3 linked regions of the Neodiprion lecontei genome follow. The protein of the gene in region 1 purifies or fractionates together with the protein of each later gene. This does not show direct contact. Links are inferred from orthologs where the notes say so. Each region holds a gene or a part of one and is shown in the gene's direction. Other genes may lie near its edges. The genes, in order: UBX domain-containing protein 6, nuclear protein localization protein 4 homolog and tether containing UBX domain for GLUT4.

Region 1 (12,354 bases):
TACATTTGGTTATTCGGTAGATGTGGATCCATGACTCTCTAATTATTGTAAGTGTACATAATAAATATCACATAATCTTTGGTTAACAAATAGAGAAGTGAAAGAAAAGAACGAAAATACGCGACTGCGAATTGTGGTTTTTATGGTGTGTGTGTATGAAAATACATCAAATATAGCGTATATCGTAATTTTAGAAACAAATATGTATTCTACTTTACATCCGATGCACTATGTATAATCTATTTAACCTATACGTTTATTTCTGCTCCATGTATACGGTGAAGATATGATTTATTAGTATTTAATCGAAAAAAATGTAATTAATGGAAAGTGCGTCGTGTGAGAAGAGAATAGAAAAATAAGAAAGATTCCGAGGTTCACTCATTATTACTCCTTCAGCACTCTTGATGTCAACTTGGGGCATTCGGGTGAATTTCCATGGTTACGAAATATTCGGACAAAGGCGATCGTTTTTCATTTCGCTTTGCCTTATCCTTCGTGTACTTTCTTGTGGGATATTCGACCAAATTGGCCACGAGCCATCGGCTTATCGCCTATTGTGCTACCGCAAGTTTTCACGTTAAAAACGATTGAAAACGCGGTCTTGCCGTAAATACTTACAAACGTACTAAACATTCTCGTCGTGAAACGCTGTAGGCTTCACGTGTGATTTCTAAAGAAATTCCGTTTGTCACCTCAGAAATCTTCTTGCAAGATTAGTAGGCGTTACGCGATGGCCGAATGAACGCTGAATCACGCACTAAATGCAATTGGCAGCTAATTACGAAGAGTGTGATCGGCTCGTTTCGAGGAGTATTATAGGAAACAAAACGTATTATTAATCGTAATCATATTCGTAGTATTATCACGTGTGATTTTAATCCAATGTTAATACATCACCGTTTGTACCGTAGTTCATGATATTTATTAATCTTAATTCAAGTTTATACGTTAATACCTATAATCGATATACTTATATCGTAATGCAAACTGTATAAAATGCATTATTTCGTAAGAAAATTTCTATACAAGTTATTCTCCTATCCCATTACTCCTCTTACGCTGCGCCGTGTGTTCTAATTAAAATTTGGTGAGATGTGTCATCTTATATTACAACGCGAGGCTCAACCATGGGTTTAAACCTTCATTTCTTTCTCCCTTTCTGACGCTAAAAGTTCCGAATAACTGTAATTTTCAATTTTTTTTCAGATCAATTCGAAATCATTGTATCAACCCAAATATTCATTTAAAAAAACCGCAATATAGATTAGTCTAATCGATTAGTCGCGATTCTGTTCAATTTCCTTTTAATCCGAGGTCTTCGGAATTCGAAATATATCAAGGTACTCCAATAGTTATTCAGCCATTTGTAATATTTCTTCTTTTACATCAGTTTTAGTATAGTATCAGTAAAAATGGGGAGAAAAGTCGTTCCAATATCGTCCGATTTATTTGAATTAAACTTCAAACGGGTAACCAATAACTCGAACCCGCTATCTGGGGGCAAATGATTTCGTAACGTTTTGCTGTCATCATCGGCACTGCCGTGGTCAACCTGACTTCCAATTGTCAAATCCAATCCGAGGTATTCATCCTGTTCGAGGTAAATAAAAAACTGTCGGATGACGATCCGTCGGTTACCGACTGGTCGTAACGGAACCGGGAACTTCGCTGAACGAAGACAGCATCGTTAGATCGAGAGCTGTTAGATGTCAGTGGTGTCGGAGAGTTTTCTGGGGGAGGGGGGATAGGACGCCGCTCGTGTTGTCGGTAAGTGTTCAGTCATGGTAAAGAGTCCACCGTGGATAGGCGTGAACGAATTGAAAGTCACGTGCGGCCGAATTCCCGTTCCGTACGGTCGGGATTATAAAAATCGTCGGTGTGTCAAGGAAACTCGGAGGGTTTGAGGAGGAGTAAAAGGAGAGTAAAATTGAAAATAGAAAAAGGAGAACGAAAGGGGATGATCAGGTGACGCGTGTGATGATCAGCTTATGCGAGGACTCGGCTCCTGGGAGCGGTTCACTCTTGGACGAAATCAATACAATCGCCTGCGACTTGGCCAGCTTCGTACTCGCGACACTCGGCTTGCTAACCTCAAACTCGACGGGCACATCGGCGAGTAACGAAAACGACGCATACGGCCAACAACACCAGACGCTACTTGAATTTTTCCAAGAGTTTTCCGCCTGGCTCGCCTTCGACGAGTTTCAGCTCCAGCTCTTCAAACTCTTCGCCTTAATCCTCGTCAGCAACGTCGCCCTCATATACGTTGCTTGGCACGTTTACGGCGATCGGATATCCGATCGGTTCATGAAACCAGGTCAGCCAGGAAAAACAGATTTGACAGATTTGGTCACGTTTTCTTTTCACCTTTTCTCTTCTCACGCGTATATGCATACTTGCGTACTGGCAGACTCGTGGCATTGCGTCACACCAGGGATCAACTAAACGTAACTATCATCTATATCATATTGAAGTTAGCAACGTTATCGTGACGATTCATGCCGAGGGAAAACCGTTATTTCACGATTTTGGAAGTTTCGGAAATTCATTAAACGGTAATAAAACAAAACATTCATTTTTCGAAATCTCAGTTTTTTTATAATCAGTGTTGTAAAGTTACGAAAATAGGCATTTTTTCCCCAACGTTTCGTCACGATAACGTTGCTAACTTCAACCTCGTTGATCCACGCATTACGAATTGCAGTAGTCTGGTCAGACTGGTTCCCTGCACCTGCGTTCAGGTATATCTGTTGTGTCTTAAGTAACCTCGCAGGTAACGGTCGCCGATGCTTTTACACTTAGTTTCACATTTTAATTAATGTGCGCCGTGATCAATCATCCAGTGTCATTAGTCTGGATTTGTGTTGTATATAGAGGGCATTCCATTTTTTAATTTAAAAACAAGCTCGGTCACGCTGCAACGTATTTATGCTGAAATTTGCGAACTTCAGCGTGTTCATATTGCCGTTCAATTTTATCCTTTCGAGTAGGCACACTAAATCAATTTTCTTTTCACCGAAGAACTTGGCAGAGTGAAAAAAATATCTGGAATAAAATCGTTTTCGAATACTTTAGTTATAAAGCACGTCAATCAAATGCAAATTGTAATTGTCACGGAAGGTAAGATAAGTATACCCTCCTAACAAGACCAGAATCGTTTCGGTCGTTTCATTTCGGGATCATCTTACGAATTACATTTATGCACTGCATTTACGCAATGCTACCAGACGCTTGCACTGTATGCAAGATGTGACCTTCACCTCTACATATGTACGTATTTGTTGTTGCTATAATGTATAACAATACAACGTGCATAGCGTTATTTGATCATACGTGTGGATTACAACTACTTATTCAGGTTTTACTTCAAGACGAGGAAGCGAAACGATTGTACCTAACATTGTCTACCTCACAAACATATTATCTCTGAAAACCTACTCACTCGACAAATGTTATTTTTCATACTAAATTTGGTTTCATAGAATACCACAAAATTGATAGCGATAGTGCAGGACACGTATGACGAGTTAACAGTCATTCACTGCACTGGTGTAGGTAATATACATGTGGCAGGGAAAGTTCTGTGCATGCATTTTCTCCATTATTTGAAGTTGTGAGAATATAGTATTATTTATGTTGTAAACTAGTTATAGGAATATAATACACTAATTACTGTCCTGTATAAGTCTTGATCTGAATATTTTCACATGAAAAACGGTTTGAATAGAATGTTTGTTTCGTACTTTTGCACATTCTTATCTTGAGCTTCCTTGTCTTCTGTGCGTCACAATTATACAGACGATGCACTGATAATGGTGCACGATAAAATGGAAAGCAGTAATCTTGAAGCATTCATCCTAATTAATGACTGCAGAATTCATCGATTGTTTGGACGACGTACGGGGTTGAGCTTCGCGGAAAACTTTCCGTTATAGTCGTACTCTTGGGTGTACATTGCACTGTATATATTATAACGACCTTGAAATTCTTAACATATCTGTGTGAAAAAATCGATTTCTTTTCTCGTCTAACTTTCGTTCCCCACTTGAAATGATAATTTTGTAAAGATAACAATGTTCATAATAATGAAAATGATCATCCATCTGTTTTAATGAATGCGACACATCTTGTAAACGACTGGAAATTCAACGTGAGTAAAAATAGAGGAAAGGATATTTTAGGTATTTAAAGAGTAATCAATTGCGGCAGTAATTGAATCAGTAGAGGGCCTATACAATGTATGTACATGCGCGTAGTAGGACTTATGGATTCTAAAGCAGCGGTCAACGGTAATATAGGCGTATATCTGTCATGCTTGGACATATTTGAAAACAGTAGGTTAAACGTAACGGCCAGCGGTAGCTTACAATGTCCCCAAACTCATTGTATCATCACGGTCTCTACTGAAACAGAAAAGTTTTTATGAAGAAATATTTCATATAATTTAAATACGTTCAGTATTCGTGAAGACAACTTTTGTAAAGAGTCATAAAAATTGTAGCAATTCAAATTAGACATAGTACCAGATCCAAGTATGCAAAACATTTCCAAATTTGGTGTATTTTCCTGTAGATCATATTATCTGCTTCTGTTTCACGGGTGGCATAAAGTTCTCGACTAACGACAAGTATAGTATGTAATTATACACCCACAGAAATGATGCAGTTAAGACTGTGTAGCCATGTGTCTAGAGATTCCGAAAACTCTTGACGCCATCCTCGCAGAGCCAGGTGTATATTTGACCCATTTTAAATTCGTACACTGCTTTTTCTTATCGCATGTATTAATACACAGCTGACTATATGGTATGTGTACTCATAGATTACTTTTCACCTTATTGGTAGTTGGAGTGTGTTAATGAAAATTTGTAACTTTCAGCGACTTCTGCTGCCGTTGAGGAACTGAAGAAGAGCGTCTCCCGATTGAAGTTACCCAAGGAGCATTCCCCGCGGGTTTAGAAAATCATTCACCAGCTAACTCTTTATCGAGTGCCAACCGAAAACAACTAACATGGCGGACAAGATCAAAGCATTTTTCCAGAAAAAGAAATCCGATGCCAAATTTAAGATGGCTGGAAAGGGGTACAAGTTAGTATTAAACGTGTGATACGTATTCACTGTTGCAAAAATTAGTCAGAGAGCTGTCAGTCACTCCGAAATTTTTTTTTTTTTTTTCTATTCGACAGGCATTTAAGCGTTTTGAAGTTTTTGAACTGCACAACTACAAAGAAAACTAAGATTATATTCTTCTTTTCCGTGTTTGCAGATTAACCGAATCGACGAGTTCATCAAAATCGAACTCTAACGAAACAGTGAAGCCAGTGACGCGGGCGGAACCAACCACAGAAGCTAAAATTGCAGGACAAGCTGCCCTGGCGAGGCTCGAGTCGAAGAGGCCAGACCCGACAAAGTTCAACACGTAAGTTCGGCCAGGGATTTCGATTTCGTTCCTAGTATACCTACATGATCATTAATCACGATGGATGAACAGTTTACCAAAATTTTGCTCACTTGTTGCTTATTCGCAGATCGTACGCGGCTATCCAGGCACAAGTCAAACGAGAACTGGAGGCGGAGAGAAAAGCGGCGAGTAATGAGGCAAAGGAAATCGCGCTGCCAAAGGAGCAGAAAATCCCACAGGAGGTCGAGGCAAACCCGCTGCTCGCTGTACGCGGGGTTTATTTTCGCTGTCCGATTATTTCTGACGAAATATTAACCAGGGACGAGTGGAAGAGCAAGATTCGACAGTTCCTTTACGAGCAGCTCAATTACGAGGAGCCCGGACTCACCGCCTGCCTCATCATTCATAGTTGTAATGCCGGGAAAGAAAAGGTTGAACAGTGTGTCGAAACCATGTGCAAGTACCTTGAAAATATCATCAATAATCCGGGGGAGGAGAAATACTGGAAAATACGAATGTCCAATCGGGTATTTCAGGTGTGTAGAAGGGTTGGAATAACAATGTAAGATACCCGAATCGAATGATTTCTTCGTGAATTTAAGCGATACCTGTTCAATGTGTAGGACAAAGTGAAGCCCGTCGAGGGTGCCTTGCAGCTGTTTAAAGCCGCTGGGTTTGAGATGGTCAAACTAGCGCATCAGGAACAGGAAGAGGACTTCCTGGTTTGGAATCCGGAAAAATCTTCGATCGAGCAAGTCGGTATACTGGTTGATGCTCTGAGGACGGCAGAGCCCGTTCGAATTGAGTTGGACAGAAACTTACAAGTCTTACTGCCCAGTCAGGCAGCGAAAAGAAACGAATTACCTCCAATTTTCTTCACCATATCGCCGGAGGAGATTAAGAAGGAGCATCAGCTCAGGTGCGCCACTATTTTTCTTATTTTGGCTTGAAAATATAGCAGTTGACACGTATTGGCAAAAATTTATTTCATAGCACAGGTCTGAAGCGGTAGCAAAGAGTCAAATTCTCCGTACGAAGGCGATGCGGGAAAAAGAGGAATTGCGAGAAATGAAGAAATACCGTTACGCCTTGATACGGGTGCGTTTCCCGGACGGGGTAATGCTTCAAGGCACCTTCGCGGTTTACGAAAGGGTCGAGAACGTCGTAGAATTTGTCAGAGAGAATTTGATCAGTGACGAGATACCGTTCGTTTTAACAACGCCGACGGGTCATCGTCTCGGGAATGAAGACTATGAAAAGACCTTGGTTGACAACAGACTGGTCCCCGCATCAATACTGAATTTCAGCTGGGATACGGAGATTTTAGATACCAAGGGACCCACCGAATATCTCAAAGAAGAAATTATCTGCCTGATACAGTCCACGTAAGCCTCCTCACCCTAGTCGAGCTATGATTTTATCGTCATCACCTTCCACTCGACAATGGTAAGCACGGACACTCTAGTTTCACACGAAGCGAAGTTTGGAGTCTTTGTTATTGTTCAAGCTATAGAAAAATCAAATTCTAACACATTGGTAGAAAACGATGCAACAAATTAACAAAATTTTCGATTTTGAATGAGTTAATGGGTGACCATTGTGCTCACGGTGCTGATTGATTGTAGACATCGTCGCGTTCCGCCGTCTCACACACGGTTTGGTTCTGTTTTTGATATTCTACAAGACGATGAAACTGAAATCAATACGCAAGGGAAAAAAGAAACTTGAAACTGAATAGATCAATTAAAGACGGAGACAATATTCTCTGCTGTCTGACGTCGAATTATGACATGCTTACGTCTTATTATACCTTTTAATAGAAATGTCCCCCCTAATAATGCGAATAACGGGATGTTTTGCTGAATGATTGCCAGGGGTAAATGCAACACTATGGACATACAGGTATTGTACACTATTGATAGCAAAATATTCTCTTTGTAATTGAATCCATACTTGTTAAAAAAGGAAAAAAAAAAAAGACGATTGGAATAAATATCACGTTTTATTTTCATTTCTGTACTATGTGCTCATCATTTTTTCTTGTACACTTTGTCTCCTACCCAGTTCGGTCAATCGTGTAGAACCAGAGAATTTAGACAGGCTAAAATTTCTTGAGCGTCATTCAAAAGAGTGGTAATTCAATTAGACTACAGTTTAATGTAAGCTGGGATCAAAAATATGAAACATCAAGGAATACTCTTGTTACAAATGGTCTAGATTTATACACCGCTTTTCTTCAACCCATCATTAGACTGCCCACGATATCAACTCGTAAGAACGGCGTAGAAAAGAATTTTATTCAACTTTTTCCACTGATGGGTCTGCATGAATACGAAGTGGGCCAATGTCAAATTCTATTCCACATGTTCGATACTATATCGAGGCACCTTGAAATCATAATCAGCGCGTAAGTCCGCCTTGTCACAGGCAACCACCTCAGACTCAAGGAATAGGTAGCGTCCTCGGTGGGAATTAACGAAACTGTTTCGTCGCAGACCACAGCAGGCTGGTCAGCCACCGGTATTAGTGATAAATTTCAATTGGTGGATGAGAAGAACCCATGAATCGACAACCGTAATCACGATTAGCCAACGGCAAAGTCCGCTTCGATAGAAGTACGTCGCGTCGACGACTTGTCAGAGAGAAAGTAAAATTCTAAAAAGAAGCACCAAAACCACGGGGACTTTTTATCGTGCGATGAAAGGCGGTTGGCAAGGCTGCTGAGAACCGTCTGCGTCGTGTGTCAAAACATATGACGATAAGGCGAGGATTTTGACGAACCTAGAAATTTGTAACAAAAATTTGTACAAACGTCGGCATAGCGGGTAATAAAAACCGACGACATCGAAGGGTCGAAACAGCGAGTTCGTCGAGGGTGCGGCGGACCTCGTCGAGCGAAAATACCTGGCTGGCATAGGGCTGAAAGGTGCGCGGAGGTACGTAGCCTGACTTGACTCAGTTTTCTCGTGTATGTGACGTGTGTGGAGGTAGGTAGATAGGTAGGTGGACAGGTAGATTCATAGGCATCACTTCTCGTCGCACGCTTATCGGAACACACCATTATTGCACGTAAATATTTGTATTTGTAATTTTCCCCCGTTCTTGTCTCACAACCGAGAACTTGTTCGCGCACTTCCTCCGTCTTGGCAAACGACTCGAATTGTCTTCGTTGTACGAAAAGCTGGGAAGACTCGCCGCATGCTGCAGGCAGGTCCGTCCGTGTGACTGGTTCGCTCCGTAGTCCAGGCCGCACGGATCCGTGGTTGACAGTTCGATAGCTGCATGATTAGCGGTATTGAAAATAGCAGAGTCACCCGTGGTCGATGGATGACGATTATTCCGTTGCGATAATTACGTAACTAAGAAACGTACGTTGGTCTTCACTTAGCTATTCAGTGTATCAGCGGCGGCGGGGCTGTCCTATGGTTTTCGTAGGACACCAGCAGCACCAGCTGCACCAGTCTGTTGCTCTTCCGCGTTTCTAAATATTTCATATTACATACCGTTCGTTCGATACTGGAATGCATTGCCGCGGTGTCGTCTAGATGCTTCATCCTCGACTCTATACACCTTCTCGCTCTTTCTCCGCGCTTATTTTTTTTCTCTTCGGTTTCCCATCACGATCAGTCAGTTCTTTTATTGCCTGTTTTCTTTTACAAATACTTTGAAAATTATATCGAAATACGATAACACGTTCTCTCGGGAAAGTGTTAGCACTGCAGTTATGTGTACGCGTGTGCGTGCGTTTTGTATCCGTATTTAATACTGCGCTGTCATTGCCACGTGATCGCCGCGATGTGACGAATGGTTTTTTTATTACATTTTTTAAATATTTGTTTCATTAAAATACCACATTGAAGAATTGAATATTAATCCATTGGCAATCCGAGGAGTTGTGATGTACCTACCGACGATTAACAATGGCCATAATTGTTAAACGATAAGGTGAATATATGATTTACTTTAGGGAAACATTTCTTTCCCAAACATTGTTTCAGGAGCATCTCGCCGGCGGTGTCCGGAGCTACGCTCCCTACCCCGGATCGTCGGAAATGTTATACCGGACGAAAAAGCGTGCGGGAAACAAGTCAACCCGGTCCTATACGATGATTGGTTGTCGGCTTTGAAAATAATTTAAAAAACGCGACAAAAGACGGGGTCCGAGACGACGACGACGACGACACACTGACAATTATTTTACGCAACGAAAGAATAATAAGAATATCGATAATAATAGAGATAAAAGAAACGATAAGATAAGAGGGTAATAATTACCGAATCGTTTAATATTGCAAAATGTCAGAAATCGACGCAGCACCGCCACCGGAAGTACCGGACAACCCTGAGAGCCGGGTAACTGTTACTCCTTCGACATCATCATCGTCATCATCACCCTCGTCGATAGCTTCGACGGCACCGACACCACCGCCCCTGCCACCTGTTCCACCAGTTAATACCGTCAACGGCATAGTCGGGGCGGATAATAATCACGGACTTGCAGCGGCCATTGGGCCCTTGAATAATAACAATATGAACAGGGCGAGGAACAACAATAATCAAAATCCACTATTCAATGTTCGGGACAGGCTATTTCATGCCCTCTTCATCAAGGCCGCCCTTGCCTACGCCAGAGCCTTCCCCAGACCTATTCGACGATTTATTGAATTTATCGTATTGCTCAAGGTAACTCTCATTATATTAGTACGACATTAACCATTCTATTTCTTTATATAATTTACATGTTTCGAAATTTTTCTTCAACTTCCGAAACTTGCCTTCCGTCTTGTAATGTGGAAATATCTCCATGCCAGTTTCTGAGACATTGTTATTATTATTATTATTTTTAGAGAATATTCCGTAGAAGATGTCCGAATTTGCGTGTACTAAAATGAAAAAACCCACAGCCAAGAGTTTGAACGCACATTTTAATGTTTGCATTCTTCCACTCCGTCGATTTACACATATCTACCAAGAGCAGGTGCAGAGCGCGGTTATACTTATTGGATTGATCTATACGCAGCAGTGATGGCGGTCAAGGGTTTATTCAAAGATGTCTATAAGGGCATCGTTCAAGTAGAATTTCTTAGAACAGAGAAAGTATTTACGAGTAATTCAAAGCACGCGTTAGTTCAGCAAAGGGTCGCGAGATCTCGGAGAAATTGGGCAAATAGCGGCGAACATAACGGAAATTAGAACCAGTACTCGCCGGATTTCTGCTTTGGATAATGTCGTGTGACGGAATTCTAGACGTGCGCAGTTTTTTTTAAATTACTTCATATCGGGTTAGCGGGGAAGAATGCGAATGCAGTTGTTCAAGCAGTAGCGGAGTTGTAATTATAAAACGTTGTAAAGTGGTAACTGCAAATTTACGAAACCTTATTTAAAGTTTGTATTACTTCCCGCGATCTTCAAAAAGATATCGCGAAGATATTTCGAATTCAGTCGAATGCTTCCCCGAATACTTGCTGTTATCAAACGGAGTCCTCCGTTGTTAGATACTTGTTACATCCCGGCGCTATCCCCCGTGCTTGCCTCCGAATGAATTGCAGTTTAAAATTGTTAATTTGTATCGTTTCAGGCAATAACGTCATTTTTCGTGCTGGCATACATCCACATAGTGTTTTCCCGAGCACCAACCAACTGTTTGGAACACATAAGAGACGACTGGCCTCGAGATGGTATTCTGAGAGTTGAGATCCTCAGAAATGGCGCTGAAGATTATACCATAGAAAAGAGTTACGCCAAGGAGGAGAAGTTGAGGCAGGAAAAAGTCGATGACCTCGCTAGCGTATTAGGAATTTTAGCTAGAGATGGGTAGGTCTTCTCCGATATATTTCGAATATATCTCACTATTTAATTGCACAGCATATATTCAAAGAGAAGTAGCGAAAAAAAAATGCAAAATGAATAATAATCGCACGAAGGTTTTTATTCTGATTCCTCTAATATTTGAACAGATCATTTTTGAACATCGAACCTTCGACTGTCGAGGAAGACGCACAGGGAAATGCTGAGGCGGAAAGCGAAAACGTTGCTAAGAATTTCACGCAAACAGACGCCAACGTTGAAATTGGAAGTCTGTCTGTTACTGGCGATGTGCAAAGCCCGAATTTAAGTACAACGAACGCGACGATAAGTCCGCCATTATCAACGAAGCTGTGGGATGGTCCAAGTAATGCGGAACCGCTCGAGGTAATGCGATCAGAATTGAAAACGTAGAATAGGAGAGCAATTTTATTTGATTATGTTTTCAAGTTTCCTGGCATTCCCTAACTAACCGTGTCACACGCTTGATAGCTTTAGAAACATCAAGTTCGTATTTTAAGGTTCTGTTGTATTGAGCAGCCTGGGAAAGATGTATTTTTCAAGTCCCCTTGGTTGAAGTAGGGAATTAAATTTTCAGACAGGCTCCGAAGTGGTGGACGAAACGACAATACCGCCTACGAACTCTTACGAAAATGTTACCGAAGATCAATCGAACGATGAAACGAATGGTGATCACATCATTCAGCCATTGAAAGGACAGGTTTCTGAAGTGGAGAAGATAGTCAGAGCAGGTAACTTAAGATATTTTTTATTATTGCGTTAACTTCGGCACATTGCATGTTACGATATGTATATGTATATCTATCAAGGTTGGATTTTGTAACGTTAACGTAACGCAATACTGGCAGAGATGTTTCCCAATTTCATAATTAATTTGTACAGGTAGCACTTATGAAAAGAGGATGCTTATGCTTAATTGCATCGCGAATTTATATTTTACATAATTTGACCCTGAATTCTCGAAGTAGGGAGTATGTCAAAAACTGACTCGTTAGGATAACGTTACAAACCTGCATCTTATAAATTTTTTTGTTATAATACATTGCATCGGCGCTATCGAGCATTGCGGCCAGGAAACCTCAGCAAAAGAAAGAACCGATAATACCGACATGCTAGTTGTGCACC
Region 2 (9,823 bases), on another chromosome or scaffold:
CTTGATATCTTTGTGATCCCTGTGGAGCGAAAATTACCTTTTCTTTTCCAATGTTACGAACACGTCGTTTAAATCTGATTCTTAAGTCGATAGACATCAGCTGGACATTCATAACTCCTACTTTAAGATTCAGAACTTCAATTTTAGTAAAAGCGTGAATATTGCTGAGAGTGAGTAAAATTAATTGCGAGCATGCCGTGCCAGAGGATAAAGAAGCTTTGTAAGCACTGCATGTTTGGCGGCACCATCGAATGCCAAGATTGTTTGTAACTATAATTTACCGTCCACGTGCGCGGAAGGTAAAACTGACAAGATAACATGCACCCGTCACTATCGTAAAATGCAATATGCAATTCGCGAAATTATTTGCATTTTAAAGCAGTATTTAATCGTTATTACGTCACCAACAATGTACTCCGCATAGAATATTCTTTTTTTCTGAAAATAATCGGATTTTTGCAACTAAGAAGAGCTTGTTGTTCAAATTTTTCCGCGTTGTAACACTATCTCGTAGCTTGTTTATCGAATCAAAGGAATTACGGCAAATGGCACGCGTACACGAATTTCTTCGGCCTTTACGTCACATTGCGAATAAAGCGCCAGCTTATATAAATCGAACCTAGTTTCTCGCGTAATGTATAGCTATATTATTTCGCATTTCAAAAAATTTCGCAAAATTTGTTGCCACAAATTATTTGTACGCTCATAACGAGCGAAAATTCAAATAACGATTCAGACATGACGTTTACGTAGGTTGCATGAAATTCTGGAATCAAATCAAACGTGGAATTTTGCCAGGCCTTTGTGGTCGTACGGTTCCAAAATATTGTTTTCAGGAATTCGTGCAGCAAATAAATAACTTATAGGGGAAAGATCGCGTCGCGGTAGGTGAAAAATATTTGTTTCCACTCATTTCATCATTTCACCCACTACACAAGCCTGCCGGAATTCACAATATTTTTTTCATGCAATGATTTGCAGTTAATTTATCAAGGTCTGTGAGTAAAACTTGAACGAACTATAATTCCATTAAAATCGAATACTACGGTATCTTTAATCCACATTCAATCCATAGTCTATTATTTGTCATTCAAAAACACCGAAATACAACAAATTGCGAGGTAGTTACAAAATTTGAAACTGCGTGCTCTAATCGATCGATAAAGTATCCCGTTACAAGAGTAAATCGGGATTTGGGGAAGATGGATCTGTCAAGTATAGCCGGTGTATGATCAATGATCTATATTATAAAACAAAGAGGAATATGTATAGAATAACTGGACGCAGTTTCCGAAATGGTAAAAACCCCCTCAGTCACGATCTTAAACAAGTAAGAGAATCTGTACAATGTTTGATAACAATCTTTATACTGACAAAGAATGACACCGTCATTAATCAATCGAGTGACATACCTTGTTCGGTGAATATTCGAGTTCTAACGAATTATGAGACGAAGATGATGACGATGACGATGACCTGAGAATGATTGTCACTCGATGATAGTGTCAGTGATGGCGCGCGATGAAGTCCGGTTTCTTATGGTATCTACCCCCGAGTGCAGGTGGTGTACAGTGAAAATTAAGGAATAGTCTTGGGACTGAGCGTGCGCTGACCCTCCTGGCAACGGATGAAGCCAGTCGGTGCAGTTCGCAGGCGGCAGACCTGTTGCCGCGAAGACGCGGGGCGAGCTTGAAAGGCAACCACACTCCACCGGTACCACCCGACAAATACCATCTTTCCAGAGAAATAACAAGGTGGAGAGCCAAGCTGCGAAGTAAAGGACGGTGCGGTTACACACTCGACACTTCCACCTGCCAACCCACGGTATTCTTGGGGCACAGAGCGTCGCTCCGATTCCCTACCTACATTTCTCTCCCTAATAATAGATCCCTAGTATTTTCCACTCTCTACATACGCCTCTTCGTTGTTCCTTGTAGACAAGGGTTACCTACGCGCCACTCGATGACGGTAGCGATCATCGGGATATAATTCCACTACAATCGCAAACCAGGCTTTGATCTTCCCACTTCGCACTAATTCGCTATTATAACGACGCGTAGATTCGAATTTTGAATTGGAAAAACTGGGGTGACCTTGCGCGTAGAAAACCTTGCGTCTTTCTCTTAAGAAAAGTAAACGCGTCACAAGTATAATCTTGCACACATATATATATTATATGTGCGGGGAATATAATACGCAGCTACGTCTGCGGATGGGATATCGGGAAATGTTCTCTGTCGCAATCGCGTAATTTCAATTATATGTGGATAAAGGAAACGACGAAAGTTCAATTTTATTCAATTAAATTCAAGTATGCAAACATGTTTCATGTTGTTTACCGAATTACAAATTTTGAGTTTCGATATTGACGTAGATCACTTATTTCGCATCGGTATATTAATGATAGTTAGACACGTGGCGGATACATGTCTGTTGAATCGTAACAAGAATTTTATGGCGTTATATAGCTAGAAGTCACGAGGTATTGTATACGTATATAAACGCCTGAGCGAGCGCAATACGGCTTGCAAAATTGGCTGACAGGTTGTTTGCGTGCAGGAGTAATGACACAATCATTCATGAACTACGTCATAGTGTGATGTAGGCGAGTGGTGAAATTTATATTTTGGATCAGTAACGAAATCTTTGAAGTTCTTTTCGGCCATAGCGATAGAAACAGAGATAAAAAAAAGATCGCGTGAAATGGTTTCGTCATTCATTTCCATTGTGGTTTAGGACTTCATTTTTTAAACCAATTTCTTGCGAAGGATCGGATATTTAACGAGAAGACATGAGAGGTAAAAACACGTAAAGTCACATTTAGTAACTTGCAGGAGGGGTGTTTGGTATAACGGAAAAGTACGAAAGTCGAAATCTCGCGGTTACTAAGTGTTTAGCTTAATGATCACGCACCGCAGATAATGCGAGATGCATAGAAATACAGGACAATTTGTTTTACGCAGTTACTTCATTTCAAAACATTGACTAATCATATTATTATACTTGCCAGTATTAAGCTTAAAAACACCGTGCTTTATACAACACTAGCACAACGTGAAAACAAAAATAATAATAACAACGATTATAATCCAAATGTGAAATGATGTATAGAGAATAAAGAGGTAACTCGTTAATGCCGGACACATCCTGACACCCAGATGAACTATTAATTAACTGCCAAACTGATCGATTGTTATTCTTATTATATGTGTTTATTTTTATAACACAATATGCGTACATGCAATTATAATTACGCACGCAATGATCATACAACATTACACACAAATGTGCATACATGTGTGTGTCAATGTGTTGTCTATGCTTCCGTCTATGTATACACAGAGTAGATGTAACATAAATATAGCCGTACTATGTATACAGATTCTTAAGTCAACGTGTAGTGCAACCTGTTTAAGAATGTATCGGACCGGGTGTACAGTCTAATCGGAAAACTGTCCGAGGAGAGAAAACGAAATTAAACATCCGTTTAGAAGGTGCGACTGAAACTGATGTAGTTGAATTCGACGAAAGACGAATATTCCTCTGACGTAGAAGAAAAAATTTCTTTTTTACGAAATCCCGCGAATTTGAGTCGAAACGTCTGATTATCAGCTGCACTTTCGTGCAAATTTTTTTGGGGAATGCTTGATATAAATGTCTCATAGAATTCATTATATTCTTCAACGAAGCATAAATTTATCGTTTTCTGCTTATCAATGCAGTTTTGTCAGAATATTTTTTGATTAATTAATGATAATAATGAAAATTGGACAAAAGATTATATAGATTTGGTATAGAATGTTGCGATAATAATAATATAGATATAGGGTTTTTATCATTACTGCGTGATGTCGAGAGGATATATAATCTTTTCAATCAATTTCAAATTTATCGTTTAACTTCGCAGTTTAAGTTCGCAGATTTGGAATCTAATTTATTACGAGGTTGAAGTTGGTAACGTTATCGTAACGGAACATCGTGAAAAACTTCACTACTTCGCAATTTTAACACGAACTTGAAAAACTAATATTTATCATAAGAGTTATATCTTGTTTTGTTAAGGTTTACTAATTTTATACTATACCATGGTCACGAAACAACAGTTTTTCGCTAACATGAACCGTTACGACAATGTTGCTAACTTCAACATGATAATTTATTATATTTCACAGTTTTTTGTTTTCAAATGTTTTTCGACCAGACTGTACCGCATACTATACGTATATCGACGTATCCTATTCCATTCCTTTTTTTTCCCTTCTCTCTATCGACTAAAATACGCGAATGCAGATTCGCAGACTGAAAAATATATTAGCTGGCGATGATTTTCTATGAGAAATGGGGTGAAACGGCGAGAGTTACCGACGAAAATTCGGATCATCTAGAAGAAGCGGGGCCCTCCTCTTTTTATTGAGCCTGCACGCGGCTGGTACGCGAGTGTCAGTGGCTCCTTGACGACGAGAATAGAGTCGAGTCGTCGACTCGGGTGAAATATCTCTCAATTTATCGTTTAAAAAGTTGTTGCGCGCGGTTAGGCAGAGGAATATTAACCGATTATCGTGGACTCTGATGAACGGCGATAAAATAAAGGGGGTAACGTAACTGGTTATGTGCGATCGCGAGTGATAATTATAAGTACAAAACTTACCGTGTAGTAATACTTTAGCGTAGAGAGGTTATGGGCACGTAAGGTTGACTCGGCAGTTTTTCCACAGCTGACTAGGGATTTTGATCGGGCTTTGTTAACACAGGCAAGCCTTGTGGCAGCGGGCTCGAAACTCTCTCTCGAACAGCTGATGCTTCTGGAATACCGGCGAAATGTCAAAATCAACGCTAATTGTAAGTCTATTTGAATCCGCACCGTCACCTATGACTCAAACAACCGACAAATTAAGTCGCCCACTATACCGATAACCGTAGATATTTATTAGCCGTAACCTTTTCATTCCCCCCGACCCACGCCGCGTTTTGCGCCTTTGTCATTACCTACGATGGGGAAAAATATAATACGTACATGTCTATGCATATAATATATGTATAATACATTGTTGAAATATTCAAGAACAGTAACGAAAGTATTTTCTTCTCTTTTTTAACCTAAAGGGAAAAAATACTGTTAATTTATTTCACTGCGATGCTAATTACTTTCATGCAACCCCTTATTTTGTCATTCAATTTTCAGACTCTCAGAGTTCAATCACCCGAAGGCACCAAACGGATAGAAGTGAGACCGACTGATACAGTCCGTGATCTCTTTGAAAAGGTTTGACTTATTTGGCAATTTATTTTGCAAAAGAAATTACTAATAATAAGGTATTTTGTACTTCTGCTTGTTATTTGTAAGAGCAGATTGCAATTCTCATAATTTTTCTTTACTCGCAAATTCATTGCAAGTTGTCGCTGTAAATGCTAGCCTTTGTGACTTAAAATAAGTGAAACCACTGGCTCAAGTTTGTGCGTACAGTTTATCATGCTTGAGCTGAGAGCCATCTATTGTCGGTAAAGATAACACATTTTTCTCTAGTCATTGTTCTTGAAATATTTTTTAAATACTGTCTATTCTAGTGACGAAGCAATGCGTGATTCAATGATAACAACAGATTTGGAAAGAACTGGTCACGATTTAGTTATTGAAAACATTATACAGCGAATCAGAGTTTGCTTAGAAGTACTTGGATTAATGATGTTGTCTTTACGGTGTCACCATCAATTCAATTCTCATGTTTTAGGTACATGATACGTTTAACTTGGACAGCTTTAGTTTTGGATTATATAAACTAAAAAATCACAAGGATGAACTCGTATCTTCTCGAAGCAAAACAGTCCTTGGAACAGGATTGTCTCACGGCGATATGGTCTACCTTGTGCCCCTCAATGGCACAGTATTACGGCCACAGGATGGACCATCGACTAGTAGTGCCTCCATAAATATTCCTGCCGGTAATCTTCACTAAGATGTTATAAGTATAAATTATAATAATTGCCAGCAGTACTTTGGTATAACTTCGCTTGATGTAAACTGGAAGCTCGTCGCTGTACAACATAGTTTAAGAATTTTTAAACAATCAATACAATGGGTGAAGAATAGATTTGTTATACTTGCTCTTATTTGTAGGACTTATAGTTAATATCGATCGTCGCACAATGTAAAAGCATTTTGAGCAGTAAGTTAAGAATGAATTTTTCAAGTACTAAATCAGATTGAAGTTCGTAACGCTATAGTAATGATGCATCAGCAGTAAACCGTAATATAGCATTTACAAACTCAGATCTTGTGAATTCAACTCCTCTAGTTATACCGAAACTGTGAAATAGTTAATTTTGTTTCAACATTTTGTTATGTTAATGTTACCAACTGCGGCCTCATAACATTCAATCCTAATAAGGTTAACTGATCTTAGCAGAACCAATGCCGAGTACGAGCAGATTATCGCAGGGATCTATGGCCATCAATTCATCTCGACCTCTTGCCAGTGTCACGGAAGATGAAGTAGATCAACAACTGTGGAAGCTTGATGGCAAGATACAGCAGAAGCGTGACGAGAAATTGTGAGTCTAATGTATGATTATCATTCACATCGCCTATCCGTTTGATTCCTTTTCTACAAATGTACCCCTGAGCGCTCAAAGGTCAATTTTGAGAGATTAGATCGACTTTAAGTGAAAAGAAATTCAGAAATTTTCTAAGTTAAGACGAGTACTCGATTAATATCTATTGCTATTCATGATCCTAATATTTACAGATGCCGCCATGGTGCAAACGGGTGCTGCGTGCACTGCTCACCATTAGAACCATTTGATGAAGCATACCTCAAGGAACAAAACATCAAGCATTTATCATTCCACTCGTACCTCAGAAAGCTCACAGCTGGGGTTGATAGGTATGTCATTACGTAGAGAGTTCGATGTTGAAGTCAAGCTGTGACACTAAAAATATTTGGAAGTCATAATTATAATGTTACAACTGATAGAAGTAAGTGAATTTTTAGAAATGAAACGGCATTATAATTTAATTTAAAACTTATCATCTTTCACAGAGGGAAATTTCTTCAACTGGAGGACATAAGTTGTCGCATAAAGACAGGCTGCAAAGATCACCCACCATGGCCTCGTGGGATTTGCAGTAAATGTCAGCCCAACGCTATCACGTTGAATCGGCAACAGTATCGTCACGTTGATAACGTCATGTTTGAGAATGCTAGTCTAGTGGAGCGCTTTTTGAACTACTGGCGTAGTACCGGACATCAACGTGTTGGTTACCTCTATGGTAGATATGAAATACACTCAGACGTACCCCTAGGCATTAGGGCTGTAGTTGCTGCAATATACGAACCTCCACAAGTAAGTTGTTCAATATTCGTAAGAACAATTCGAATGATCTTCGACTTTAGTAACATATTAAAGCTCTTCAAATCACAAAACTTATATTTATTTTATCTACAAATGGCTTATAATTCCTCTCAGGACAGCACGAGAGATACTGTATCTCTCCTACCAGATCCAAGACAAGAATTAGTCGACGAACTTGCTCGACTTCTTGGTTTGCAAAGAGTGGGGTGGATATTCACAGATTTAATTGCTGAAGATGTCAAAAAAGGCACGGTACGTATTGGCTGACGTCCAAGCTTTAATTTTCATTTTGAAACAAACGCCGCGACAAGATCTGTGGATAATGCGTTATTCAAAAATAATTAATTGCATATGAATGTGTATTTTTCCAGGTGAAACACGTCAGAAATATAGACAGTCACTTTTTATCAGCACAAGAGTGTATTATGGCAGGATACTTTCAAAACCAGCATCCGAATCCATGCCGTTTTTCACCGAGTGGTTATTTTGGCTCAAAGTTCGTCACAGTCTGTGTCACAGGTAATGTATAATTATTAACAATATATTAATCAGAGTGTTTATCACGCTTGCTGTATTATTCGGTACAATATGGTATAAATTTACTGCAGTGCACCTCCTAGTAAATCAGAGCCTTTCGTTTTACATTGCAATCAAAAACTGTTCTCAGAATATTCTTTACCTTTTCCTTTGATCTCCAGGTGACGATAAGAATCAAGTGCACATGGAAGGATACGAAGTCTCTAATCAGTGCATGGCATTGGTACGTGATGGGTGTCTAGTCCCAACCAAGGATGCGCAGGAGCTTGGCTACGTTATTGAGTCCACAGATAAGCAATATGTTCCTGATGTTTACTATAAGGTAAGTGACAACTTCCTCTTCTTTTGAATTGCCCTTATTGAATTTTATGAAATGTTGTAAGGTTTCTTGGGTGGGTAAATTCAATTTCAGCTGTTTTCCAATATTCGTTTAAACAATAAAATAATATATATGGAGTGAGAAATTAATTGCGGTATTAAGTTTCCGTCACGTACTTATTTTATTTTCAAACATTTTTTTTCGCGCACATATACATTGGATGGTTCACATGTTTTACAATGATGAGGTCGTCTAACATTAATTTTTATAATCACCGTTTATTCTCGTTAAAAAGTAAATCGCCAATTACAGCATCATTGAAATGCTCACAATCCTTCGGTTATACGATCTTCAACGATTTTAATAACATGTCTTTGTGATATTAAGAATTTTCTTACCACGTAACTTAATTATTTCCAACGGTGCTATTCGAATTCGTTTTACATTTAACTTTTTTTTTTTACCATCGCATTTATACGTATATTCTTTTGTATACATATATTTATTCATATTTCTGCTGCTGATAACAGTGGCTATATATTCAATTTCAACTACTATTTTGAATTTCTCAACTACTGCGAGCCATAAATCTCTAATCATTCGTTGCAAATTTAATTCACCACACACCGTCTTGTAACATCCAACACATTCAGACAGTCGTATGATTTGGAATAGTAGAGAAATTGAAAATTTGTTATCAATTTCGAAATTCTGGAAAGAGGGAATTTCTTGGAATAAATGATATACTGTTTACACCCTCTTACCTGAAGATCAAACATTCACATTTCAATTTCCTCTATAATTATGATCTGCTTTTATAATCCCTATGTGGCAAGTTTTACTTCTCCCATAACAAGCTCTTAATTATCTCTTTTCATATTCATTATCTTCCATAGTAGATTACAAATATACTTTTGCCGCAACGAGCTATTCGGTTTTTTTAACTAATACAGTAATAAACCTAAATTTGAAAATATAAAACTAAAAGTTGGACCAAGTGAAGTACTTGCATTGTTAAGAATGGCAACAGTTTATAACTGGAAAATGGTCGATTAAATCTACAGCATGTCTTAGGTAACAATTGTTTACCTTGTACATATACAACTATTATTATTTTTACTAATTTGGTTCTTTGATTCATGTTACCACAATTAGACGAAGTGGTAAACGTACTATTTCCTATAAAATGTATAGTTGGCAGAGGAAATGTAAAAAAACAAACAATTTAATTAACTTTTATAGATACATATATGTATATGGGGGAAAATATACGATAATTTACAAAGTATAATCGTTTTCATCAAAGACAAAGGCAAGGATAAATCGACGGTATCCGATATCTGTAGTATAAGCTATATGCTACTGCTTTGTCACATTCAGAAAAGTATGTTTGTGGGTGTGTGTGTATATATATATATATATATTTTTCATTCGTTATCTATGTACAGGTTGGCCACTGACTTCGCTCAAGTCAATGTTAGTCGTTAGGTACGTCGAGCCTAGGTGATATATTTTTTTTCTAACACAAAATTGAAAAGAGGAAGGAATTCGGAGTGGCCACCTTTTAATCGATATTCATAACGGTATTTATAATTTATCGTAATGCGGTACACGTGG
Region 3 (10,427 bases), on another chromosome or scaffold:
GATGAATAAGCACATTAGAGATTGATTGAAGATGCGCACGAAGCACATGGAAGTCTGGAACCAAGATAAATTTTCGTTAAACTTGCACTCGCCTGTGGAATTACCTCGAAATGCGTATTTGACGATGTTCCATTTGCATCACCCGGTGACGGCGGTTTCGGGGTGTTTCTGGGTGAACTCGAGGAGTCGTCGTTGAGGTCAACGTGAAAGAGGTAGAATATTACACCGAACATTGCGGGTCCGAGGCCGTTACAGAGACCTCGCATACCGGTAACCATTCCCTGGACGAGACCTTGCTTATCAGCATCTGAGTGCATCGAAACAAAGGCTGATATTGCGGGATACGTGATGCTCGAAACTGAAGCGAGACCTCCGGCGGCCCACATCATCCTGAAATTAATGATCATTTTCAATAATTAACAGTAATGTAGTAAAACTGAAACAATTGTTTTTAGAAACAAGTGTTTTATCTGTGAGAGCCAACTCGCAATAATATCTCAGAGATGATAATGGAAGTGGTAAAAGCATGGAAAGGGATATATTACCAGGTCTGCGAGCCAAATCCGTACCACATCAGCTGTAGCATCTCAAAGAGAAGACCGAGCATAATTGTGTGCTTGCTTCCGAGGGTCTTCATCAGAGGCCCAAGTATTATTTGTGCACAGACACTTAATATTCCAACTACCGCTATAAATACTGCCACCATTGTGGCAGAAAAACCCATTACTAATTTAAGGTAGACAAATATACAGCTATACTGGCCTGCTTCAGGCAAATAACTCAGGAATACGGTGACACATAGCATCAAAATTGTATGATCCTTGCCCACCTAGAAAAAAAATGCACCGGTCATCAATCTGATAATTCTGAAGGCAGAGTGCGGCTAAATGCGAATAAAAATATTGAATTTGCCAACCTTTCCCAAGGCTGCGAAGGGATCTGCTTGTTCCCAAGAAATAGGGGCTGGAGGACGAGCTTTTTCAGGCAAGCTTTCCGGCACAGCAACCAATATAAAGAAAACATCTAGGATAGCAATGGCTGTTGCCAAAGCAACGGGGAAATTTTGTTCGTAAACTTCCATCAGGTACGAACCGAGCGCAGGACTAATTACCATACTAGCTGCGAACGTGGCAGACACCTGAAAAACAGAAAAATTAATCAGTACGAAATATTGAATGCTGAGCAGTATACGTGAATCAAACAAAATCAAAATATTCTGCCCCTTTTTGGTTTTAAGCATCAAACTTTTTTATTTGTGCCAACAGCACACGACATGGATCAGATTACGAGAAGATTGGAAGTAACATGACGAGTGATGTTGTCTGAAGTTGCAGTAGATTACAGAAAAACATATGGTTCAAGCTATATTTTGATCAGTGTTAGATATTGGACATTCATGCCTTTCTTTATCTAATCAAAATGAACGCAATCTAATCCTTATATGGCCAATGTGTCACCAGCCTAGAATACAGAAAACGTGTTGAGACACAAGTGGACTTATAGGGATATTAATGCTGCTGACTAAGCAAATTCCAATCTAAGATTAGCCAATAATGACTGTTGGAAAAAAGACTCAGCAAGTTACACGTGGAATTTTATCGCCAGATTTGTTAATTTTCGATGTGCAGATATGCGCGAAAATACTTACCAAACCGTAAGCCAGAGAACGTTCGCTCTCCTCGGTGACGTCAGCGACGTAAGCAAAGACAACCGAGAATGTGCAGGCAAATACTCCGCTGATTGAAATCATGGCGAAAAACCACCATGTATTTATGCTCATGAGTGGTATAGGCGCACAGGTAAAAGCTACAGTGATAAGCAGGAAGAATTTCCTTCCCCAAACGTCGGAGAGCGCGCCAATCAGTGGAGCTGAGAGGAACGAGAGAATCCCTTTGATGCCCATTATCAGACCGTTCATCAGAAAGGTATGATCGGGAAATGTCTTGTTGAGAACGGCAATAATGGGCATTGTCAGCAGTCCCCAGGCAAAGAACTCCAGGAATATGACGACAAGGGCATGATAAACGCTGGCTTCGCCGATTCCCGAACTCTGAAACAATGGAAATGTAAAGAAAAGTTAGAAAATTAGAAGATATTTATCGGCAGGATGCTAGCGATGTCAAATTCTTACACAGCTGTGACGAAAAACTGAACAGTCGAATCAAATATTTGCACAACTGCCTTCTCAGTGGGCGGCGCTGCTCGTTAAGCTATACAAATTTATACTACCAGCTGACCTTGAGATGTCTGTAGCAACGCTGAACGGGCGATAATAAGGGTGGAGGCTTAGTCAGCGCTGGCTCCTGGCCATCGTGAGCTTCGGAGCACGAAGGGCCCTCCGAGCCCCCGTCTGCACCAGGGGGCATCGCCCCTGCTCGCCCCTAAGTTCTCAATAGACGCATCTGCTCATCGACGTGATTTTTTTTTAAATCGAACCAGTGTTCTATAATGTCTCAAAAAAGACACCTAAACCGTGCAAGTTTTTCAGAGCAGTAAATACCTCGTTGCGTGCCGTTTATTGGCCAGGAAAGACGTTACTGTTGGAGGTATCCAGTTTTTCTGTATGCTCTGAATTAATTTTATTCGCATTTTCATTGATATATAAACTTGATCATAATGTTCGTTTTGTTGAAAGATATTTGATTATATATATCACCGTATTTGACGGACGGATTTATAAGTGTGCCCTGTATTTACTAAGCTAACTAAACTTATTCGCACCAGTGTTCCTCTTAGGATCTATTGAAAATTAAATTCAAACAACTTGATAGATTTATTAGAGTTACGAGTTGTAAACTTTTTCTTTTTCACTGTAAGAATTGCGTGCAAAAACTAATCGAATGTCAAAGACTGTTGAAAGTAGTCTATTGAGGTTTGTTTGGCCGCTGGGTATTATATTCTACATTACATCAGTGACGCAAATAAAATTCTTTCCAAAAGTTAGAATAATTGTATTACGACAGATGTACTTCTTCCTTGGCTGGAAAATAAAGTCGCGTTTTTTCTATTCCTATGCAAAATTACTTGTGGATGTGGAAAAGCGATGCACCGAGTAAATATATAAGGGGAAAAATATTTTTATACCAACGTAACGAGGAGGGAATCTATCAATCAACGTAAGTCATCACACACGTTTCAGCACACAGTTGGTGAGAGTCAGATATTGCTAAAAATACACACGCAGCATCGGCTGAAGGCCTGTAAATTTTCGTTTGATTGAAACGCGCTGGTCCATCGACTGTGTCTCCGAAAATTGGTGAGCGTCAACTGGGGAGGCGCGATGTCGCGGTAAAACTCGGTAAATTTTTGTCGAGGACCGTGAGAAACACGCTCGAAAATGCGACGACAATGCCGATGATATGCGGTGAAACGCGAATACACGGGGTTACGGAATCCTCGAATCATGAGGCCGTGGCGTAACTTTTTCGGCGAACGGAACAAATTCTGACGAGCGCATTTTAAACTGACGTCTGTCAGCTGTGGGCCAACGTCAGTCAACGAGTTGTCAATAAATCTCGCCCGGTAAACATTCGCCGCGTGAGTTGGACATTGCGTCTTAATAACGGCGATTTTCCTTCTTTCCTTCCTTCGTTCGAGAAGAGGGCGAAGTATCGAAGAATTTTTTTACGCAAGAGCACCACTACTGCGGTAGCATTCCCAACCCCCCTCCCGCCGCGAAGCTGGTGCCCAACTACCCTGCTGCGGCCCCATCATCGGGATTTTTCGTACGCGCATGATTTCTTCTCCTCAGCCGCTACTTGGGGGCACAGATATATCAGGCTGAAGTTAGTAACGTTAACCTAAGGAAACCTCAGGCTAAAATGTCATCGTTATTGGGTAATTCAAGAATGACTTTCAAGGAGATGACTACAAAATAAAAATATTATGTTTATAATGGTTTATTACATTTCGGACATTTCTGAAGAGGCGAAGTAGCGATTTTCACAAGCATGTATAGTTACAGTAACAATACCAACTTCATCCTCATACAGATACCGCAAACGGGTTATGGGCATAGCCTGTTTGCGGTAATGTAAATACGAAGATCATCTCGGCTGATCGACCAATGCCTCGGGACGATTCCAGGGTCGCCCGTGTGTGCAGGACGTCAACGCGATGGTGATTCCAGAAAGAGTGGGGAAACCGCGGCTGGGTGTTGGATGAGAATTAAAACCCCTCGGCCACAAGTCATCGGCAAGGTTATGATGATAACACGTATGTAATATCGTCGCTATCCTTGACGCGAATAACCGCATTGCAACAGGTAAAACAGCGAGTTGAGGTGAGTAATGCGGACAGGTTGCTGGTTGTTGGTTGGCAGGAAAATAGGGACGCGAGATAAAGACTGGGACTAATTAGACTTGGAAAAGCTTGTCGCCGTACAAGATAAGGGAATATTTGTACACGGATCTATCGTTGGACGCGCGTCGCAACTTGACGAGCAAGTACGAGAACGATGCTTCAGCGTCGAGACGTCGCTGTGACGAATGATTTTCCGAGGATGATGAATCTCTTGGTTTTTTCTTTCCGTCTGTCACCCAGCTTGCCGATACCTCTCAACATTAAAGGAAAAAACCAATTGAAATACGTACCGTGATCACACCATCCTTCATGATGGATTTTCGACTCCTGATTATCATCCCGACGACCTTCTTCGACACCTTAGCGGGCATACTAACGCACTGCACGCACCAGCTCTTTCGCTTTTTCAATTTCATTAAAAATTCAACGTTTATTCACCACATTTTTTCAATCATTTATCGTCGAGTACATAGGCCCGACCTATTATTCAATGCACTCTCATGGCGATATCAGTTCAACTGAACTTCTAACTTCAGACCATGCACCTACGGCGCCGCACATTTGATTAAATACCCGTCATACAGATACACCTAGCGGGATTATCCTCAATCCGCTGGCGCAACTCACATCTTCGTCCATAGATTATTCAGTCTCAAGAGATGGGAAATCGTAAAAAGTGAAAACTCAATCAAATCTCCAATGAGAACTAGCTTCGGTTAATTAGCCAATTTTCACGTTGTCATCCCTATTATGTTTCTAAACGTTTGTACGGCGCAAGTTTCACCGTTCAAATAACCCAAATCGGCTTCGTCGTTACCGATAGTGGCGCTATGTAAAGAAAACTAGCGAGCGTTATGACGTCATGCAAGACCGCGCGCAAATGCTGAGGAATGATTAAGCAAGACCGTCAGCTGTTTTCGAAGAAAAACAAGAATGGCGGCAAGCAAAAGTGTCATTGTGCTCGCGCCGAATGGTCGCCGACAAACCGTGAAAGTAACGCCAAACACGACAATATTGCAGGTATGATTCATTTCTTAAAATTTGTTAAATCAACGTGATCACTGATATACAACTGATCCGATCAATTATTCTGTAGATACTGGAACAAGTGTGTCAAAAACATGGCTACGAGACCGAGGAATATGACATCAAGTGAGTCTCACCAGGATAACTATGCTCCTTTCCATGCCTGCTTATGCGCCGATCCCTGAATATTTTGCCGCCAAATTATATCTCAGTCTTCGTCAACCCTCAGGCATTACAATCGCGTTCTCGACGCCAATGCCATCTTCCGATTTACCGGTTTACCGAACAACGCTCAACTGGAGATGGTACCTTGCACCAAAAAGAGACTTGACTCAAATGTGACGGTCGGCATTCAAACTGAAAGCGGAGAGCGAGTGACAGGTGAATTTCAGCCCAGTAATTCCTTGGCTCAAGTTCTGAATCAGCTGTGTCCGGAGCAAATGCTACCAACTGCAGCTCTTATCTACATGCATCGCGAGGTTACATTGTTACGCTAGTTTTTCAAGCCTGTGTAGCCTGTCATTGATCAACGCTCGATTAATAATTAAAAATCTCAGGTCTGCGGGTTGGACCTACTGGAACAAACGACGCTCAGATCGCTGGGACTGAACTGCGGCAGAGCTATGCTTAGATTAATTCATCGCGATCCTGAGCAACCCAGAACTCAGGCTCATGTGTCGGCTCCTTTGGCTGCAAGGCCATCTCAAGAAAGCATTGACTTGGCACTTCGTATGGCTGAAACTAATCGACAGACAGCGGCATTGCGGAGAGGCGCACAGAAAAATATAGATCCCATATCAGCCCTGAAAACAGGAAAGACTGCACAGCATCATACACAAGCTTCAGTTTCAGAAAAGATCCCAAAACTTGATTGCGATCTGAAGGTTGAAGAAAAAACGGATGTAACTGAAACTGAAAACACAGGAATACCGATGGATACATCTGAGAGTAGTATAGAAGACACAAAAGTTGAATTCGTAAGATTCTAATTTTTCTTTTCTCTCCGCTTATTTTTCATTTCATTATATTCGCAGCGCAAGAAATTAATTATTGATAATTTTTAGCTGGGAGAGAGAAATGCCCTAGTGTTTAATCAGGCTGGAGCAGAAGCCTTGCCACGTAATGAATTACCCGACAACTTTTTTGACCTTACTGTCGAGGATGCTCGGCACTTACTGAAAGATGCTATCCGCCTTAGAGCAGAGCTGGATGAGGCTCCACTTCTAACTTCAGCTCAGAGACAATTGGATGAGGACAAAAGGATTTTGCATCATTTACATAAATATCGTAAAACCGTGATTAGAATTCAGTTCCCAGATCAATTGGTACTTCAGGGCTTGTTCGGCCCGCTTGAAACAGTTCAGGCAGTTAAAGAATTTGTAAAAATTTACCTGGCCAATCCTGACGCCGAGTTCATGCTTTGTAAGTATTTCTGCATACCTATATTTCTCTTTTTGATGCACTTCTTATGCAACTGCAAATCGTATTACATAGTTTTAACGAAACAGATACAACACCTCCACGCACTGTACTGGATCCCGGTGCACGGTTGGTCGACGCCAATCTAGTGCCCTCAGCTATACTTCACTACTCTGGCCAGTCTAGTTTGAAATCTGAACTAAACAACAAACTTACCGATCCCAGAGCTGCTGGTATTCAAGCAGTAAAATCTAGGTGAGCAGAAAGAATGGCTAGTTGTTTCGCCACAAATACTTGAATAAATAATAATGATGATAATTTAATCGTTAGAATGGCAATGGCGCGGAGAGGTGTGGACAGTTTTGAGAATGAGGATATGCCTGACATCAGTATGGCACAAGAAAAGAGACTGGAAAGGGTAGTAGAAACACCAAAGCAATCAGAACCCACACCTGGACCGAGTCATAGAAACCTTGCACCTGCAACCAAAGCTAATGTACCGAAATGGTTTAAGCAGCCGTTTAAATAATCATTGAACCTTTTCTGAGATATCCTGGTATGGAATACCTCATTGAAGCAGTATGACTGAATAATGAGTTGTCAGTTACGTGTTTACTATTGTTATCTATTATTAAAATACAGCAAGAGGAAAAGCTGTTATCCCGATTTTTCATGTTAAGACCCTGTAGTAGTCCTGCTTTTACCGTCCGAGCAAACTCATACCTTTTCTTCGTATATTAAATAAACAGAAGGGGTTCAAGTCTCGACGGTGCATCATTCTTTCGTAGCGGAATTCAGGAATGTTACTCGTATTCCAAAAATCATCAAAAACGTGATTTTTTTAAACATTTTACTATTTCAACATTTCTCGCATCTCAGGGGCCAAAAAGTGCATGGTTGAGATACTTTCCGCAATTCCGGCAAGAATGAGAAATAAAATGAGACATCGCAAGACTGCTTTCATGCAATATTAAGGCCGCTCAACGAAAACTAGGATTTACGGTAATTTTGTAGATAAAAGACGCTCTCATGCTGTGCTGGGGCGACCATACCAACCAAGGAACTTCGCGCCCAGCTGATCGCTAGAGCATTTTTTATTTACGAAATTATTTGTATCCCTAGTTTTCGTATAGCGACTTCAATATTACATGAAAACAGTCTCACGATGGCTTATTTTAGTCCTCATCCTTTCTAGAATTGCGGAAGGTATCTCAACTGTGCACTTATTGGCCCTTGAAATGCGGGAACTGTTTAAATAGTAACGTGTTTCAAAAAACCACTCATCTATTTAATGCTTTTCAAGATATGAGTAACATTTTTGAATTCCGCCATGAAAGAGCGATGCATCGTCGAAACTTCAAGCCTTTCCGTTCATTTGTTGATTTAATATTGGAAAAAAAGGGATGAGTTTGCTTGGTCGGTAAGGGTAGGCTGTCACAGGACCTTAAATTAAAGATTGAAATGATTTTTTGTAACAATACAGTTCCTCACAGGCCTTTGTAAAACAATAAATGATCTTCAAATTTATCACATGCAAATCATTTTATATTTTAAATATGTCGTACGGAAACTTATATTGATTTTGTTCCTGTAGGGCTGAATTTGCACAAGGTTGTTAAAGAAATTTTTATCATGAAGATACGTACAATTCTACGGCCTAGACTATCAACAGACCGTATGGCCTAATGGATAAGGCGTCGGACTTCGGATCCGAAGATTGCAGGTTCGAGTCCTGTTACGGTCGAGGCAAGTTTTTTAGTTCTTCAAACAGTGTTTTCACACAAGTAAATTGTGCAGCACATTCGAAAAATTCAGATTATCGTTTCAAAATCGATCCTGCAAATCCTAAAAGATTCGAAGAAGTTTGTTTTGCAAATCGATGAAAATTCAAATTATCCTTGAGCGGATGTCAATTTATCGCGCATTTTTTCAGCGTTCTATTTTCATTTTTAACTCTGCCCAGTTTCGAAATCTATTCTTTGCATTTGCAAGCATCATTCTCTGCAGTCAGTTGGTCGAGATATGATTTTTTGCCATTCCGTGCATCTTTAACGCGTGCGTGCAATTTGCGTCAGTCACGTGCGACAGCTGACAGCTGCATCTGCATACCACGTGACTATTGCCGGCGCTGCCGTAGGCTGAATATCGAATGAACCGTTTCGATCGGCCACCCCTGCCCTTCCTTATCGATGCAGCTGCGTCGTGACGCACGATGCAACGGCTCGACCAATGAGAAAACGCGGAGAGATGACCAATGGCAGACTAGGCTAGGTAAACGTTATGGAAAATGTTCAAGTCGCTGCGGCTGACGAAGTGACGACGGAGGAGGCCATATTGTTTTACTGCAGTGTTTGTTTTGGTGCTGCGGTGGCCAGTCTTAAAATCCAGTTGAATCAGCCTGGAAACTTGTCGAAAGTCTTCGACGAGACCGCTAAACGAAAAGGGAATACTGTGCAATTTGTAGTACCGATATATTTTCGGGAAATAAAACGCCTTTTGCGGTTCCTCGGCGATTTTTTGGTGTCAGTCGCGTACGAGACTGTGAAGAGTAAAAATGGCCTGCGCCACCCTGAAGCGATCACTCGAGTTCGACCCCGTTCACAGCCACGTAAGGCCTTCGAAGAGGCGAAGATGCGTACCGATGTGCATGTCGCCAAACACACCGCCGGCGAGGAATCAGAACCCATCAGCTTTCGGCGAAGTTACACAAAAATTGACGCCTGGTAATTATATTCGGCCATTTTTTTTTTTATCACGGGGTGTTAAAGGGGGAAGCTAGCTGCAAACGTAGATGTATAGCGATTTAAAACCCGTATATACTATGGCCGGAGGCGTGAAGTGGGGTGAGGGGAGCGCAAATCATATGGAGATACCGACGTAACGGTCGCTGCTGATTTTCACTATTTTTACAAACAGCTTTCAAACTGGTTTTCCTCCACTCATCGCGCAATTTGAAATATACGTTAGAATGACCGTTTTTCTTCACAAAGTTTTTTCTCATTCGACAATTCCCCTCATCACCTCGGTGTTCAAACGCGCTTCTATGTCACTAAAAAAAAATTCCCCATTGTGTGAGTTTTGCGTACCCAGGCATTATTTCATTCAATAATGTCGAAGTTCGAAACGGGAGAAAAAGGACCAAGCCGAATCGTATGTTTGTAATCTTCATTTACGTATTCATCAGACATAATATTAGCATTTCCATGCTCAGTCTGATGCGTTACCACGAATCTATTGAAAATACCCATCAAAATTCGACCACCGTAAAGGCAGACTATTGCAACTTTACTATTTGCATAACTGTGAAAATTTTGAATGAATGCATGGAGTTTGTTACTCAACTTGTACATTTACATGAGAACTAAGCCTTCTTACTAACCTCTTTCAGCCATTACCAATAACTTGGAAATGATGTTGCAAAGACCTAATATTGTTTCGGTTTTCTTATTTATTATTTTCAAGTAATTTCACAATCCGTTATTTGAACATCATCAATCAAAACAATGCCTGGTTGCAATTGTGATTGCGATCCGTCAGGCTTGGTTATTCAGTCTAAGAAACTGAGGTCAGGTATCTGAATTGTTTACACCAATGCCGTAAAATGTTTTCATAGAAAAAATGGCTGCCAATATTAGAGAAGAGATCCGCAGGCTTCACCGGCGCAAGCAGCTGCATTTCAA

Evidence for each region.
Region 2: the proteins of UBX domain-containing protein 6 (region 1) and nuclear protein localization protein 4 homolog purify together in Homo sapiens (affinity purification with western blotting; 3 studies listed by BioGRID and IntAct, with this or other methods). This does not show direct contact. The link is inferred for Neodiprion lecontei from reciprocal best matches to the Homo sapiens genes UBXN6 and NPLOC4.
Region 3: the proteins of UBX domain-containing protein 6 (region 1) and tether containing UBX domain for GLUT4 purify together in Homo sapiens (affinity purification with mass spectrometry; 4 studies listed by BioGRID and IntAct, counting the BioPlex papers as one, with this or other methods). This does not show direct contact. The link is inferred for Neodiprion lecontei from reciprocal best matches to the Homo sapiens genes UBXN6 and ASPSCR1.

What each region holds. Positions count from the first base shown.
Region 1 is NC_060260.1:40,954,465-40,966,818, reverse strand, and holds UBX domain-containing protein 6, read left to right. Parts: upstream 1-2,311; 5' UTR 2,312-2,450; intron 2,451-2,825; exon of another isoform or gene 2,826-4,153; intron 4,154-4,215; exon of another isoform or gene 4,216-4,406; intron 4,407-4,881; 5' UTR 4,882-5,013; coding exon 5,014-5,090; intron 5,091-5,268; coding exon 5,269-5,421; intron 5,422-5,530; coding exon 5,531-5,939; intron 5,940-6,026; coding exon 6,027-6,322; intron 6,323-6,401; coding exon 6,402-6,792; 3' UTR 6,793-7,414; downstream 7,415-12,354. Other genes in the region: membralin, read left to right, coding at 9,700-10,086, 10,982-11,217, 11,361-11,595, 11,807-11,960. UniProt on the Homo sapiens protein: May negatively regulate the ATPase activity of VCP, an ATP-driven segregase that associates with different cofactors to control a wide variety of cellular processes.
Region 2 is NC_060264.1:8,317,577-8,327,399, forward strand, and holds the start of nuclear protein localization protein 4 homolog, read left to right. Parts: upstream 1-4,751; 5' UTR 4,752-4,818; coding exon 4,819-4,839; intron 4,840-5,182; coding exon 5,183-5,263; intron 5,264-5,729; coding exon 5,730-5,940; intron 5,941-6,401; coding exon 6,402-6,549; intron 6,550-6,743; coding exon 6,744-6,881; intron 6,882-7,037; coding exon 7,038-7,341; intron 7,342-7,464; coding exon 7,465-7,602; intron 7,603-7,721; coding exon 7,722-7,869; intron 7,870-8,048; coding exon 8,049-8,209; intron 8,210-8,363; exon of another isoform or gene 8,364-9,823. Other genes in the region: uncharacterized protein LOC107222111, read right to left, coding at 38-112. UniProt on the Homo sapiens protein: The ternary complex containing UFD1, VCP and NPLOC4 binds ubiquitinated proteins and is necessary for the export of misfolded proteins from the ER to the cytoplasm, where they are degraded by the proteasome.
Region 3 is NC_060263.1:15,146,307-15,156,733, reverse strand, and holds tether containing UBX domain for GLUT4, read left to right. Parts: upstream 1-4,907; 5' UTR 4,908-5,235; coding exon 5,236-5,322; intron 5,323-5,398; coding exon 5,399-5,454; intron 5,455-5,557; coding exon 5,558-5,807; intron 5,808-5,885; coding exon 5,886-6,305; intron 6,306-6,392; coding exon 6,393-6,750; intron 6,751-6,836; coding exon 6,837-7,002; intron 7,003-7,077; coding exon 7,078-7,276; 3' UTR 7,277-8,274; downstream 8,275-10,427. Other genes in the region: hippocampus abundant transcript 1 protein, read right to left, coding at 93-390, 546-829, 917-1,138, 1,649-2,050, 2,238-2,366; akirin-2, read left to right, coding at 9,302-9,470, 10,361-10,427. UniProt on the Homo sapiens protein: Tethering protein that sequesters GLUT4-containing vesicles in the cytoplasm in the absence of insulin. Modulates the amount of GLUT4 that is available at the cell surface. Enhances VCP methylation catalyzed by VCPKMT.